Rattus norvegicus: one gene and its partners. The protein of the gene in region 3 purifies or fractionates together with the protein of the main gene of each other region. This does not show direct contact. Links are inferred from orthologs where the notes say so. Each region holds a gene or a part of one and is shown on either strand. Other genes may lie near its edges. The genes, in order: Ube2h, Ahcyl1, Pip4k2a and Stk11.

Region 1 (3,565 bases), on a different chromosome or scaffold from region 3:
ATGGTTTCAAGGGCTCTAAGTCTCAGGTGTACAAACTTTAGAAAGAAAGTGTGTCTGGTTGTGGGCACTTGACATACACTGGAGGAGGCTCATGGCACGATGAGCACACTGTTACTGTCTTCAGACACCAGAAGAGGGCATCAGATCCCATTACAGATAGTTGTGAGCCACCATGTGGTTGCCGGGAATTGAACTCAGGACCTCTGGAAGAGCAGTCAGTGCTCCCAACCGCTGAGCCATCTCTCCAGCCTCCCTCATAGCAAGTTTTTTTGTTTTTGTTTTTTTTTTAAGATTTATTCATTTATCATATATAAAAGTACACTGTAGCTGTCTTCAGACACACCAGAAGAGGGCATCGGATCTCTTTACAGATGGTTGTGAGCCACCATGTGGTTGCTGGGAATTGAACTCAGGACCTCTGGAAGAGTAGTCGGGTGCTCTTAACCGCTGAGCCATCTCTCCAGCCCTATGGCAAGTTTTAAGTTAGTCTGGTACACAGCAAGTTCCAGGCCAGCCAAGAAGACACAACCATCTCACAAAACAAAACTGAAGGGAATAGGGAAACATTCCTACCTGGATCCCCTGCTGTCTTTTCAGCATCAACGGGCCTGTGTGATCTTTTGCCTGCCTTTTTACAGCAGCTTTAACAGCACCATTGGCATGAAGACATGAGAGGCCCTGTGTCCAGTTGTGCTGATTGGAGTCCCACCATTGCCCTTCCACAGTGTGTGGGCAGTTTACTTACACAGCGTCCTTTTAGGAACAAATGTATTGTTTATTCAGCATTTCTTACATTTGTTTTCAGCCGGCCCTTTGGCCTAGGCTCTTAAGCATAATCTTGAGGAGAATAGTGAGTACATGGAAGAACCCTCAAGACCCTGCACCTCCACACAGCAGCCTGTCCCTGATGAGCAGAGCCAGACCATGATTACTGTCTGCTTCCAAAACCCAGCGGTCAGGATCGAGTGTGATTGCATAGGTGCAGATCAGGGGTGGGGAGTCACCGAGGAGTCATCACTAGACCACTCCTGTCTAGGAGATAAACCACTTTATTAACGGGGAAAGTAAAAAGTGTGGACTGCCCACTTCAGCCCAAACAAGTCACTTCCTCTTTGGAACCCCTTGGCTTTTCGTTACCATAACACCGGGGTAGCAGGTGAGTTTGTACCGAGGGGTCACTGAACTCACACCCTGTGTTTCCTTCCCCCCACCCTCCCCCTGTGCAGAGTACATCCAGAAGTATGCAACGGAGGAGGCCCTGAAGGAGCAGGAGGAGGGCACTGGCGACAGCTCATCGGAGAGTTCTATGTCCGACTTCTCAGAAGATGAGGCCCAGGACATGGAGTTGTAGTAGAAAAGGCATCTGCTTTTCAGAAAGACTATTATATCCTAACCATGAGAAGCAGACTCTAATATTCATATTTAAACAAAGCAATTTTTTTTATTACTAAACAAGGTTTTTATGAATAATAGCATTGATATATATATATTATATATCACCCTTTAGATCTTGATTTCTTGGTCATTTCTCAACCTGAGGTGCGTAGCATATTCCCACATTCCATTTTGGTAGCAGTATGCGGTCTGAATGCATGCATGCGTAAGTCCATTTGGCCAAGTCAGCCTGTGCGCTACTGAACTACTGTCAAGAGATTGCCGCTCTGAGGTAAACATGAGTTAATGACAAGTTTGCTTCTTTTATTGATGGTTCCAAAGAAACAAACCAAATTCTACCAGCTCTTGGATGAAGATAGAACCGTGCTTTTCCAGAGTGGAAAGGAAAGGGTTGAGACGCGTGCTTTGAGAGCCTGTGAAGCTGCGCTGTCTGTGTCAGCCACTCCATAGTCCTAAGTGGCCCTTTGTGAGGAGCAGCGTGAGACAGAGTTGATGAGAAGCGAGACTTAGGGCTTTGGGGTTTTTTTGGCTCAGATTTAAGTGTGTTTTTCTAGGTAGATTCCCGCCCTCCCTGCTGCCAGACCTGCAGCCACATTGGTTTTTTGCCTTGGAGAACATTTGGGAAGCATTTTCTGAACCCATTTCCTTTTGGGGGTGTCCAGTTTGTCATCCAGCAGAGCATTTTGAGAGAACAGGACTGAAGGAGAAAGGTGACTGGAAGACGCCGAGTGACATCTGATCCAGCGCCGGCCGGCCGGGCCTGTCGGAGACCATTGCCCTGGACTGAGCTGTGACACTGGAAGCAGTTCTGTTTGGTGTTTTGTTTTTCTTTTTTTTTTTAGCTTTGTGTGAATTGTACTTAGACAAGTTACAGGTTTAATTTTCACTACCAAGAGAGTCTCCTCCCTGGACAAGGTGCTCAGTGGACCATCAAATGGAGGAAGACTGGCCTTGTTGCTTGAGCCCTGCACAACCCTTGGAACTCCAGCTTAGTTTTCCTCCCAGAAGCTGCCAACTGCTGTGGGAGTGTGGGTAGTGTGGGTATCCGAGACCCAAAACATCCTAAATTTGAAATGGGTAACAGTTGAAACAAACTGAAGTTTTTGTACCAAAGTGGCTCGAAGTGGGAAGAACCACTTTAGTAAATTGTCATGGAGGCAGGTTGAGGGGACACCACTTTCTCCCTCTGCAGTAACAGACAGACAGACAGACAGACAGCTGGAAGTGCCTGGCTGGCTGCTACCGGCCAACTGCCATCCAGTGTGCCCGGCAGTTTGAGACCTGACTCTGGAGGGAATTTGGAGACCGTTTAGAGAGCAGCTCTGCTCTGTATTTTTGCCGAAACCAGAGCAGTAGACGTAGCCAATGTAAGACCTTCTGAAGACATTTTGAATGTCCCACTGGACTAACCTTTCTCTTGATGTGTGTTTTTAGTTTAGAAGTGCTATATTCCACAAGGGTTAAGTCAATGAGGTTGGAGAACACCTATCTTTTTTCTTTTTTAATTCAAAAAGCACAATCAGTCTTTCCTTTGAAAATCTATAAAAGTACAACTTTTAGCATGATTATTTTCCTAAATAAAAAGACAAATAATTTACTTATTTTACGTTAATTACGGGCATGAAGCAAAAGGTTTCTTTGGGGAAAATGCAGTTCTCTAGTGCTGGGGTTGGTTCACTGCACTGTCCCTGGCACCCTGGCTTGTTGAAAGGTGGCTTTAGCTGTGTGCCATGTGACCGTTTGCCTGCCACGCTCTGTTGTGGTTAGGGGAGTTTCTGCTCACACTTGCAGCTTGCTGCCCTGCAGATTAGCCCTTTGCTCATGCTACAGCCTTCCTGTGGGTGCTACCTTGGGCAGGCTTGAACTGCTGGGTGATGGTCGTGAGTTCAAACAATTAAAAATGTGGGTTTTTTTTCAATACTATATAAAAGTAGTGCTCTGATTACCTCCTCCTCAAAAAAAAAATCCAGATAATTGCTTTTGATATTGTTGGGGAAAAAATAAAACAGAGCCAACTTTGGGAAACAGGTGTGAGCAGCTACAGCTCTTGACCCTTACCGGGGGCCACTTCGCTCCAATGAAGAGACATCATTCCTTCCCGTGCAGGGCTGACAGTGCAGAGTGTCCATCCAGACACATGATGAAGGTGTCACTGGTTCTGCACTGCAGT
Region 2 (3,565 bases), on a different chromosome or scaffold from region 3:
AAAATGTTCTGAAATGGCCACAAAATTAGACAACAAAATCCCCTTCTGAAGTAAAAGCCAATGTTCCATCCCAGCAATGGCAAATGATGAGCTACAGGGAGCTACAGACTGGCTGCTGTGGAGCCCCAGAGTCTACACAGGAGAAAATGCCAAGAGGCCCCATAAAAGGCTTAGAGTGAAGGGAACAAAGCATCTTACTCTCTTTCCCTGGGAGATTTCTACGAAAACAGTGAAGTAAATGAATCACCAGCTTGCAGAAATACAAAACACGAACAGCAAACCTGACAGTGTTACAGCACCCCACCCTTACCAGGCCTGCAGAGCACAGATGGGGTCAATTTCTGTGATGTAGACAATTGCTCCAAGGGCCTTGAGAGCAGCACAGCAGCCCTTTCCTACCTGCAGAATATAGGAAAGCCCAAGTTGCCAGGTCTAGTAAGACATGATCACCAGGGCAGACAAGCTTTTGAGGAGATAGGAATTAGTCTTCTTTAAATCAGTCATCATCCAGGGAACATTCCAACCCCAGCTGGAGCAGAAAGAAACCCAATCTAGGCTGTAAACCTCAATTAGAGATAATTTAGCAGACAAGTCACAGCAAGAGTTGGGGAAATATGAAAATAAGACCAAACAAGAACAACTGATTTACTCCATAAAAACCTGGTAAAACTTTCTTCCAATGTGTCTACTCAATACCCAGCAGCCCAAGAACTTCAGTGAACCACTGCTGAAGACGATGAAACTTCCTAGGACCTAGTCCACTTTAGAGACATTCAACTATAATGCCACTTCGGTTTCTCCATTATAATGCAAGTCATAAGATGGGGATAAAAATGCTACTTATCCGCTTGAATTTTATTTCATAAAAGGTTATAAGTGGGAGACAGTAATGTTGACATTAATCAATAAGATAAAGTGCTAAAATATGGAAGTTCAATACACTCTGCCTTTAATTCATGAATATGAAAAGAAGGACTTCTGCCACTATTTTCAAGCACAGTATGGAAAACCATGTGTCAGTGTTTGTAGATTGTCTCCTTCCTCCAGTGTTTCTCTAAAGCCCTTCTAATAAGAATAGACAGAGACACGGGGGCCCAACTATTTACCTCACCATAGCCACACACCACCACCTGTTTCCCACCAAACATCACATCTGTGGTCCTCTTCAGGCTGTGGAAACAGACAAGGACTCATCTCAAACATCATTTACAACTTGGTCCCTTTGTACCAAACTCAAGTGTAGGGCAACGCCCAGGAGAAATTCATTTGAAAGCTGGCTGAGATCAGTGTGAAGTGGGCCCCTTTAGTTACATGTAAAGGTGGGAGACTACAGGGGCAAGCTACAGGTATCAGACTAACATGTCAAACAAATACCACCAATCCCTGCAAGTCTGAATGTATACATTTCAACATACCCATCCAAAATGGATTCTCGGCAGCAGTACAAGTTATCAAACTTCTGTTTGGTAACAGAATCATTGACATTCATGGCTGGAACACAGAGCTTCCCAGCTTTGGAGAGCTGATACAGCCTAAAAGGGAGAAGAAGCCACAAAACAAACACACAACCAGTTAGTGACAAACAGTAAACAGCAGTCTGCTTCTGTCTCTTCAAGTCATGCTGCCCTCCTTATTCTTATTTATGCCCAGAAATTCTTCGGAAACATGACTATTTTCTTGTCATCTCTCCTCAACTCATTTCCTTCTACCTTTATCCTTTACTTTTGGGGAAGAAAAGTAAAAAATTTTCAGTTGAAGTAATTTACTGCTCTTCCACAAATGGAACATTATAACCTTAGGCCAGCATTGTTCTAACTTTCAGTACTCCTGTTTACTTCAGGTCAACAAAGATGACAAGTGTTTTGATGTGATTCACTGTGTCTGTGAGAGCAATCACGTACACTGTGCCCCGGTAGAGCAGTGCTCCTAGATACCATTTAGTTATTTCCACCAAGCCAAGAGTATATCTCCAGTTTTACTTTTTGTTGCATCACATATAGCTTTTTTTTTTTAAAAAATACTTTTCCTTCCATATTTAAAATATAAAAATTATAATACAACATTGAGCACAAGTTTTACAAGACACACTCCTCCCTACGCCCCTACTCCCAAATAATTGTTAATTACTCAGTGGAGTAAATGGGAGAGATAAAAGCATGTGAATTAGAATTTGAAAAACTTCCTTCAAAATTCCTTCTATGGTCATTTTGATTTTGCAAAAGTAAAAACTCAGTTTTATCTAATGAAGACACTCCCACTTAGTTATTTAAAGTCTGAAACACAGCCCTAAAGTCTAGGAGAGACCAGAAGAATTTGATGAGGCAAGGACACAAGGGGCAGCTACTCCAGAATCTGTTACCTGTGAACACCAGTCACGCTCTCTTCCACAATGCCTCGGATCTTCTTAAACACGTTTGGATACTTCTTATAAACCCAGTGGGTTAAGTCTCCCCCATCATCCAGGATCTACAGAACAGCCAGAAGACTTCTATGGGCATTCAGGCTGCTAGAGCTAGGGGGAACTTTGAGCCCATTTTCTACACTAGTGAGAGAGCCCTGGATATTTTGGAAGAGCACGTCTTAACGCTCAGCAGAATAGGCTTAGACAGTGGAAATATAGTTAAATCTGTTGGTGTAAAGTGATTAAGAGAATTCCTCAATGAGTTCTAGGCTACAACGGAAAGTTCTCTTTTGAGACTGGATCTTGCTTGTTGCTCAGGCTACTCTAAAATTCCTGAGCTCGAGGATTCCTGCTTCAGCCTCTCAAATGCTGGGAATACAGGCAAGCGCCATGCTCAGCTACAGTAAATAAGTGTTACAAATCATGGGCTCATTTTCAGTCTAGCTGACATATACAGCTCCTCTGAATGCAAAAGGAGAAGTGGAGCAGGAAGGAAAGAAATAAGACTCCTACTCCAAAGAGGGACCAACCACATCATTTCCTTCTGTTTATTCTGCTGTGTTTGAGCCCTGTGTCCACCTCAGCTTACCCTTCCCCCACCTTTCTATTCACTTCGCAGAGCTTTTTTCCATTTCTTTCTTTCCTTCCTTCCTTTCCTTTCTTTCTTTTTGGTGCTGGAGATTGAACCCAGGGACTTGTGCATCTTAGATCCATACCGAGTAGGTATTGTGTTATGAACACTTTAGCAATATAGTCAGTAAATAAGACCAAACACACAAAAATATATTTAGGGAACCATGCTTTAAAGGAGAAAAGGAAATAAATCCATAGTAAAAAATATGGGGTGGACATGAATGATTACCATGTTAGCCTGCCACCCATCCATGTTGACACAGCGGTCAATGCACCACCAGAAATCATCTTCTGACTCGCCCTTCCAAGCAAACACTGCAACTCCTATGGAGACAGAAATAAATTAGTTAATGCTGCTTCTGATGTGCACATCAATACCAGCTCTGAGATCCACATGAAGAATGAAAGGGAAAAGAAAAATTCAGAGAGGGAAAACTTAAAAAGTCAAAATGGTACTTTTTAGTTCAGAAATTACTGTACTTAAGAAATTAAGAGATTTCTGTTTTAAAAATATTTTGGAGTCATAAAATA
Region 3 (3,565 bases):
ACCTGCTCCTTCACTGTGTGGCCACCACCCATAGAAGAGTTGGTTCCAGTACTCATAAAGATCACAGGAAGGTCCTGGCTCCAGGAGTTAACACAGGCTAAGGATGTGGCTTTATGATGGACATGCTTTGACATGTACAAGGCTATGGGTACCTGGCACCAAAAGAAAGAAAATTAAACTACAGGAATCAGGGATAATTCCTTATTCTAAGGAATCAGATAGACTGGATCTTGTGAGAGGAGAAAGGGAAAAAACCAGAGTCCTGGCAGTGTAAGGCTTGTAAAAGCAAGCAGGAGGTCTGAGAAGTTCTGAGTCTACACACTTGGAAATATTGCATATTTTTAAGATAAATGCATGAGTTAAGTCAGTTATGGTTGTACGCACCTCTAATCCCTACACTCAAGAGGTAGAGACAGGTATGAGCTCCGATTTTGAGACCCACCTGGTCTGCATTGCTGAGCTCTAGCCCAACCAAGGCTATGTAGTGAGAACCCACCACAAGTAGAAAAGTAAATAAACAAGTTTAAAGAGTGTGGGGCCGGCAGATAATGTCTCTCCTTTCCCACAGTCGCTGGCACCAGCCCCCACCCCTGAGCCTGGTCCCCAGCCTGTCTTCTCTTTCTCCTTGGGCTCACACTGTGGGACTCTCTTTTCCCCCACAGAGTTCTGGTCTTCCTTGAAATGTTTGGAATGAGCACAGCTAATTCCACCCCGACACCAAAATGCTTTGCAATAAAGTTAGTGGGAGACGAGTCAGGGGCCTCTCCCACATGCTTGTCCTCTAGACTTAACACCCATCCTACCGTGCCACGGGCATGCCTGTTGTGTGTGGAAGTGCCCTTCTTCTAGGCTACCAGATGTTCTCCGTCATAGTGCCAGGGTGGTGGCAAGTTCTCAAGGAGTTGCGGCCATTCACCTTTTGCAGACCGGGATTCTGCAGGGCCAGCCAGCCAGCCAGTCAGCCAGTCAATGGGCTGCTCGGTCTGCTCTCTGTTAAGCTATCCACACTTCAGTGGGTCAATAAGAGCATTGCATGCCCTGTGTCTGTGTAGATCCAATTAATTAAAATGAACGAGAGAAGAAAGCAAGAACTTGACAGATGGGAGGGGACAAACCCACAGCTGGCCTTGACTTGTAGCCATGACTGGAAGGGGAAAGGGGGCAGTGCCCCTGGGCCTCATGGGAAACGGAGTACCTTAGCATCATTGTTGTTAGCCAGAAGTTGAACGGGTACAGAGGGAATGTGTTACTTACCACCGTACTGACACCATTCACTCACCGGTTGACAGGGATAGAAGAGCTTTTGCTTATCGGTGACCAACAGCGTGATAATTATGTGCTAGGGGTATGCTGGGTTTCCAGTGCTTTCCAGGAGGCTTTCTTGAGCTTCGCTGGAAGCTACCTGGTGACTCCCTGGTTTTTCCCATTACCCAGTTGTTTTCTTTGTTGGAGAAAAGCACACACACAAACTCCCAAGGCTCTTCTGACAGCACCTTACACCCTTAAAATTACCTCAGCGGTTACATAATAAATGCCAGTCTCAGGAAACAGCTTCGCATTGTCAGTGGGGTGGTATAATCCTAGCAGTGAGCCAGCCAGAAGTGAGGAAACTGTCTAAGAATGGGAACCACATAAAGGAGGCACAGGGGGTCCCCTTAGCCCTTGGACCCTTCCCCAGTGTTTCGTCCTTCTGATCCTAAATTCTTTAATTCTTAGCGTTGTTAAGGTGTTAACCAACCTGTCTCCTCCCCCTCCAGTTCCTTGCACAACTAAAACTCATGGACTACAGCCTCCTGGTGGGGATTCATGATGTGGAGCGAGCAGAGCAAGAGGAGGTTGAGTGTGAGGAGAACGAGGGGGAAGAAGAAGGAGAGAGTGACGGTGCCCACCCCATCGGGACGCCACCTGACAGTCCTGGAAACACACTCAACAGCTCACCACCCTTGGCTCCTGGCGAGTTCGACCCAAACATTGATGTTTATGCAATTAAATGCCATGAAAGTAAGCTTAGTGTCATTGACTCGTTCTGCACGTAGAGTGGTTTGATTTTCGCACTGGGATCTATCAGTAAGGCCGGCCCTGGTTCCGAGGGCGCTGTTTGCAGGGCTCCCACTGAGTCTAATGCACTGATAATCAGACGGCGATGTGCGTTTAAAGGAAATAGTCATTTCAGGTGTTGGAGGGCGGAAGGAAACTAGAAAGCGTCTTTAATATATTGCGCATATGCATTTGTAGATAATGTATTATGACAGATAAGCCCAGTGTATTCCCACAGGTGTGTCCAGCTTAGACCCCAGGAGAGCATTGAAGGGAGCATCCCAACACGTTTATAGATCACGGTGTTATACCTCAGTGTCAAAAGGTTACACGCCCTAAGCGTGTTAACATTGAACTCGTTTTTTCATGCCAGGTTCAGTGATACCAAGTCTGCCTGAGCAATTTAACAAGAGCCTGCCTCAAAATGAAAGATGCCTTATGCTGTAGCCCACTGGTGGAACACTTGTCTGACATGAGGGGGGACTGGGGGTTGAGCCCCAGGACAGAGGCCTGACAGTGTCTCACAGATCTGTTCCGGGTGAGGCAAGTGTGTGCAGTCCACTGTGCCCCTTGATCGGGTGGCCTTCTCGTGGAGCTGACATTACCACTCAGGCTGCCTTTTCAGGGGTGCAGAGGCCAGGCCCCAGTGCACACAGTGAGAATCACTGCCTCTTCTGCTGTCTCCATGATGAGATCTGTGGCCCTCCTCACAGGGCCTCCCTCACGTCAGTTCTCAGGATCCTGGTGTTTGGTTGGTTTAGCTTAAAAGTCATGACTGTAGCTACATGTCCATGGCAAAAATATTTTACTAATATGGTAAAACAAACAAAAAAAACCCTTCCCTTCTCACTTAAATAATCAAACAGGTCATTTCTGCCCCATCATGTCAGCCAACAGGTTTTGGGTTGTATTTTTTATATTTTTAATTTTAGCCACCAAAATCCTTCCTTAAACATAAGAAAACCAGTTATAATTGAGTGTACATTTCTTAACTATTTGTAATTGAAACAAAGTATTTTTTGAAACTATGTAGAAAGTAGATAATGGAGACCTAAAACCCTTTATTCAGTTCTGATATTCTATCCGGGGAGAAAATGCAGTGCCCGGGTAGAAAGGGATTAGTTAATAAGCATAATTAATTCTACTTGCTTTACAAAAAATTCTAAAGAGAGCATTTTTCTTTACATAAAAACAGTTTACTATGGTGAACGAAATGCAGACTAGGAAACAAAGTTACTGTCCCGGCTTCTTGCTGCTTTTGTTTCGGTACAGGGGGCCAACCGGAATGCGGTTTCTGCATCCCACCCCCTCCTAACCGCTTGGCTTGTCCTCTGAGTGTTGTCCCCTGTCCCACAGCCTCTGCTTTCCTCCCGTTCCAGACGCACCTAGGAAAGAAGTGTACTTCATGGCGATTATTGACATTCTCACTCATTACGATGCAAAAAAGAAAGCTGCCCACGCTGCGAAAACTGTAAAACACGGCGTAAGTACGGGCTCCCTCACCCAGCGCCTCGCCCCACCGCCGTCC
Region 4 (3,565 bases), on a different chromosome or scaffold from region 3:
CTAAGGACCGCTGGCGCAGCATGACCGTAGTGCCCTACCTGGAGGACCTGCATGGCCGTGCAGAGGAGGAGGAGGACGAGGACTTGTTTGACATTGAGGACGGCATCATCTATACCCAGGACTTCACAGTGCCTGGTGAGTTGACTGGGCGCAGCTCACGCTGGAGCTTGTGCCTTTGTGCACTCTGGGGCTGGTCCTCTTCCCAAGGCTCCAGCTGATACGAGCCCCCAGGACTGCCAAAGCCATCCTGGTGGCTGTGGAGGCATTCACTCTGGGCTGGCTGGAGGGCTCCCTGGGCCCATCTGCAGCTTCTTATGGCCTCCGTATGGCTGTGTCTAGCAGGAGGAGGGGACCCTGGAGGGCAGCGGGTAGGTGCCCTGAGACAGCCGCCTGAGGGAGGGTCCAGTGGCCCTCAGTCCTGGCCATGCCTGACCTTCTATCGCCTTCTTCCCCAGGTGTCGAGGAGACGGCCGAGTCAGGGCTTAGCGAGGACGCATGCGACACATGCATGTGGAAGAGCCAGGGCGCAGGCCTTCCCGGAGAGGAGCCCGAGGAGGGCTTCGGGGCCGTAGTGTAGCTCCCTGTCTGCTGCCCCACTTGTCTTCCATAAAGCTTTGTCCACTGTGTCTGCAGGGGGATGCTTACCGCGACTGCCCTCCCTCCCTCCCTCCCTCCCTCCCTCCCTCTTCCTTCCCTCCCTCCCCGTCACTGCTCCTCATGACAGGCTTCCTACCAGGGTTTCAAAGGACATGCCTGGGCCCAGGGCCTGGGGCAGGGTTTCAGCGTCAGGGTGGCCACCAGCCAGGGCTGTGGAGCCTTTGTTCCTGTGCCCCTCAGGCCAGCCCCACTCAGCTCCTGGCCTTTCAAACAGCCATGTGGGGAGGGTAAGGACCTTGGGCTACTGTGTCTCCTGTAGCAGATCAGTGTTCTGAAAGCAGTGCCCCCGCTGGGTGCCAGGTCGGCCCACAAGGACAGGTGTGCGCCTGAGGTTCAGTGTGGGCCTTGGCTGCAGCCCTTCCATCCCCATGTGGGAATAGTGTCTTCTCTCTGTCACCTGGAGCCCTTGCCTACACTGTCCCACCGGCTCAGCTCTGAGCTGATAGCTGGTGCGGGGCAAGGCCCTCTTTCTTGCTGTGGGCCCCTCTGCTGGGGAGCAGGCGCACGGAGATGCTGGCTGCATGAGGGACCCTCAAGGCTGCTGGGAAGGAAGGGACAACTGGGGGAGTGCTTGCTGTACAGGGAAGTGATGGCACTCAGAGGGGAGCCTGGTTCCTCTGCCTGCAGCAACAGCACAGGGCCTTTCTACTCAGTGTCTTGTGTGGATGGAGGAGGGGCAGAGTCCACCTGACCCCACGCCTAGTCCTGTCCAGCATGAGAGCCTGGGTGGGTGCTGCCAGTGTGGCTGAGTAGGAGGCTCTGGGAACAAGGGCAGTAGGGCTTGTGCTGGGTTCTCAGCCACATTGCAGAGCACTGGGCTATGTAGTTACCCGTACACTCTGCCCACTGAAGCCTGGGGAGCTCAGAAGAGGTCGCCTCTTGTTCCACCATGAGTGCAGCCCAGCAGAGCATGCTGGGCCTGCAGCCCCCAGCTGGATGGTCTCCTTCCCCATGCTCTGCACATCTAGTAGCCCCCAGGCTGAGGGCTTCATCTCCTTGTGCCTGTTCTGAGGGTCTAGAGCCTGGCTCCCTTGGAGAGCTCTGTGAGCTGGTGCTGGGCTACCCAGGCTAGACAGGCAGGTGAGCATGGGTGTGCTGCAGGAGGGCCAGGGCATACCACTGGGAAGGTATGGCCTGACTATCTTTGGAGCTACTGAGGGGTGGCAGAGACCAGCCTCTGGTGCAATTGGGGCTGGCTGGACCCTGGGACTTTGAGCTGCCTGGCCCTTGACTCAAGCTATGCTTGCCATCTTCCCGCAGGACAGGTCCTGGAAGAGGAAGTGGGTCAGAATGGACAGAGCCACAGCCTGCCCAAGGCTGTTTGTGTGAATGGCACAGAGCCCCAGCTCAGCAGCAAGGTGAAGCCAGAAGGCCGGCCTGGCGCTGCCAACCCTGCACGCAAGGTGTGCTCCAGCAACAAGATCCGCCGGCTCTCGGCCTGCAAGCAGCAGTGACTGAGGCCTACAGGTGGGCAAGGGCCAGGATCCAGAGTCATGTTTGGTGTTCACAGTGGGCGTCTGCTATGCGCCTAGCTCCTTCCCAAGGGCAGGGCTGCAGGGGGTGAGGCCACAGCCCTTACCGACTATGTGCACAAAGGACCTTTCTGCTCTGGAGTGGCCAGTACCTGGGGCCTGGTGCTAAGTGGCCACCCATTCTACCAACAGTGTGTCGCCAGGATCTTTGGGCAGGTGTCCCGGCAATACTGATTCCGGGCCTGTCTGTCCACATACTTCTGGACATTGGAGCCGAGGGCAGACCTGCCACCCCAGAAGCACTTTATGTCGAGACCACTGGTCGGCCTCGCCTGCATGCCGCCCTGCGAGCCTCGCTGTCTTTGGGTTGGTTTTTTTTTTCCTTTTTTTTTTTTTTTTTTTTTTTTTTTTAAATAAAACAGGAGGATTTGAGCTGTGGCTATGAGGATGTTTGGAAATAGGGAGCAGGCGGGGCACAGGGTGGCCTGCAGAGAAAACCCAGAGCGAACAAATATGCAGAGACATTTATGATCAACCAGACAACACGACCAACCACAGGGCGCAGGGCAGGGAGTGGGCAGGCACTCATGGCGAGGCTGCCCAATCTTTTGGCAATAAATAAAGCTTGGGAAACTTGAAGCTGCCACCGGGCTGTTCTGTCTCTGTGTTTAAAGCCCAAAGCTCGTGGGGAGGGATGGGACAGGCTGGAGCCTGTGCACATGCAGAGAGCGAGCAGGCGCAGTCGGTTATTGCTCAGAGAGGAAAGGTACAGTTGCTACAAAGTGCATACCATGGACAGGGGAAAGGATTAAGGATCTGGGGCGCGTGTTCCTCTCTGATCCTCAGTGCCCCGCAGTCACTTCCCCTCCAGTAGGTTCACGCATGCAGTGGCACTGCCAGCACGTGCTCACGAGTGTGGAGGTTCGGCTGATCCTGGAGGGAGGCTGCACGCGCACCTCAGAACCTGCTCCACCCGCATCTGTGGCCAGAGGCTGGGTGCCGGGGGTCAACCGTATATGGACTTGAGAATCCAAGATCTTCATCCTCCCTGCAGCTGAGCCTGGGTCCGGAGGCCTTGTGCATCCGGAGGCCCACTGCACCCTGCTAAGTGCCCGAGGGGACACTCCTTGTACACACTTGGGATTTGGGCCGCGTACCCATGCACAGCAACCTCAGGTTGCTCCCGCTGTCGCCACCATTCCCACAGCGGCCCCACGTGCCGCCGGCAAAGCAGCCGAGAGGCAGGTCCAGTACACAGAGCTTAGGCTGGGCTGTGGTCAGGGGATGTAGGGGCGGCAGCAGCGACAATCAGCACCGGGGATGAGGCAACTGGCTCAGCAAGACGGGGAGAGAAGAGTCTCTCGTCGAGGCTAGCTGCTAGTTTGTCCAGCAGTGCCCCGGCGGGCTCAACACATAACCCAGAGCCTGGGCAACCA

The links.
Region 1: the proteins of Pip4k2a (region 3) and Ube2h purify together in Homo sapiens (affinity purification with mass spectrometry; 3 studies listed by BioGRID and IntAct, with this or other methods). This does not show direct contact. The link is inferred for Rattus norvegicus from reciprocal best matches to the Homo sapiens genes PIP4K2A and UBE2H.
Region 2: the proteins of Pip4k2a (region 3) and Ahcyl1 purify together in Homo sapiens (co-immunoprecipitation; 3 studies listed by BioGRID and IntAct, counting the BioPlex papers as one, with this or other methods). This does not show direct contact. The link is inferred for Rattus norvegicus from reciprocal best matches to the Homo sapiens genes PIP4K2A and AHCYL1.
Region 4: the proteins of Pip4k2a (region 3) and Stk11 purify together in Homo sapiens (affinity purification with mass spectrometry; 3 studies listed by BioGRID and IntAct, counting the BioPlex papers as one, with this or other methods). This does not show direct contact. The link is inferred for Rattus norvegicus from reciprocal best matches to the Homo sapiens genes PIP4K2A and STK11.

Annotation. Positions count from the first base shown.
Region 1 is NC_086022.1:59,803,559-59,807,123, reverse strand, and holds part of Ube2h (ubiquitin-conjugating enzyme E2 H), read left to right. Parts: intron 1-1,226; coding exon 1,227-1,351; 3' UTR 1,352-3,565. UniProt on the Homo sapiens protein: Accepts ubiquitin from the E1 complex and catalyzes its covalent attachment to other proteins. E2 ubiquitin conjugating enzyme that transfers ubiquitin to MAEA, a core component of the CTLH E3 ubiquitin-protein ligase complex.
Region 2 is NC_086020.1:197,988,551-197,992,115, forward strand, and holds part of Ahcyl1 (S-adenosylhomocysteine hydrolase-like protein 1), read right to left. Parts: intron 3,359-3,565; coding exon 3,264-3,358; intron 2,467-3,263; coding exon 2,360-2,466; intron 1,533-2,359; coding exon 1,416-1,532; intron 1,171-1,415; coding exon 1,107-1,170; intron 400-1,106; coding exon 311-399; intron 1-310. UniProt on the Homo sapiens protein: Multifaceted cellular regulator which coordinates several essential cellular functions including regulation of epithelial HCO3(-) and fluid secretion, mRNA processing and DNA replication.
Region 3 is NC_086035.1:86,408,876-86,412,440, reverse strand, and holds part of Pip4k2a (phosphatidylinositol 5-phosphate 4-kinase type-2 alpha), read left to right. Parts: intron 1-1,757; coding exon 1,758-2,001; intron 2,002-3,393; coding exon of another isoform or gene 3,394-3,416; coding exon 3,417-3,520; intron 3,521-3,565. UniProt on the Homo sapiens protein: Catalyzes the phosphorylation of phosphatidylinositol 5-phosphate (PtdIns5P) on the fourth hydroxyl of the myo-inositol ring, to form phosphatidylinositol 4,5-bisphosphate (PtdIns(4,5)P2). Has both ATP- and GTP-dependent kinase activities.
Region 4 is NC_086025.1:10,224,932-10,228,496, reverse strand, and holds the end of Stk11 (serine/threonine-protein kinase STK11), read left to right. Parts: coding exon 1-135; intron 136-455; exon of another isoform or gene 456-1,917; coding exon 1,918-2,111; 3' UTR 2,112-2,124; exon of another isoform or gene 2,125-2,321; 3' UTR 2,322-3,293; downstream 3,294-3,565. Other genes in the region: Cbarp (voltage-dependent calcium channel beta subunit-associated regulatory protein), read right to left, coding at 3,391-3,565. UniProt on the Homo sapiens protein: Tumor suppressor serine/threonine-protein kinase that controls the activity of AMP-activated protein kinase (AMPK) family members, thereby playing a role in various processes such as cell metabolism, cell polarity, apoptosis and DNA damage response.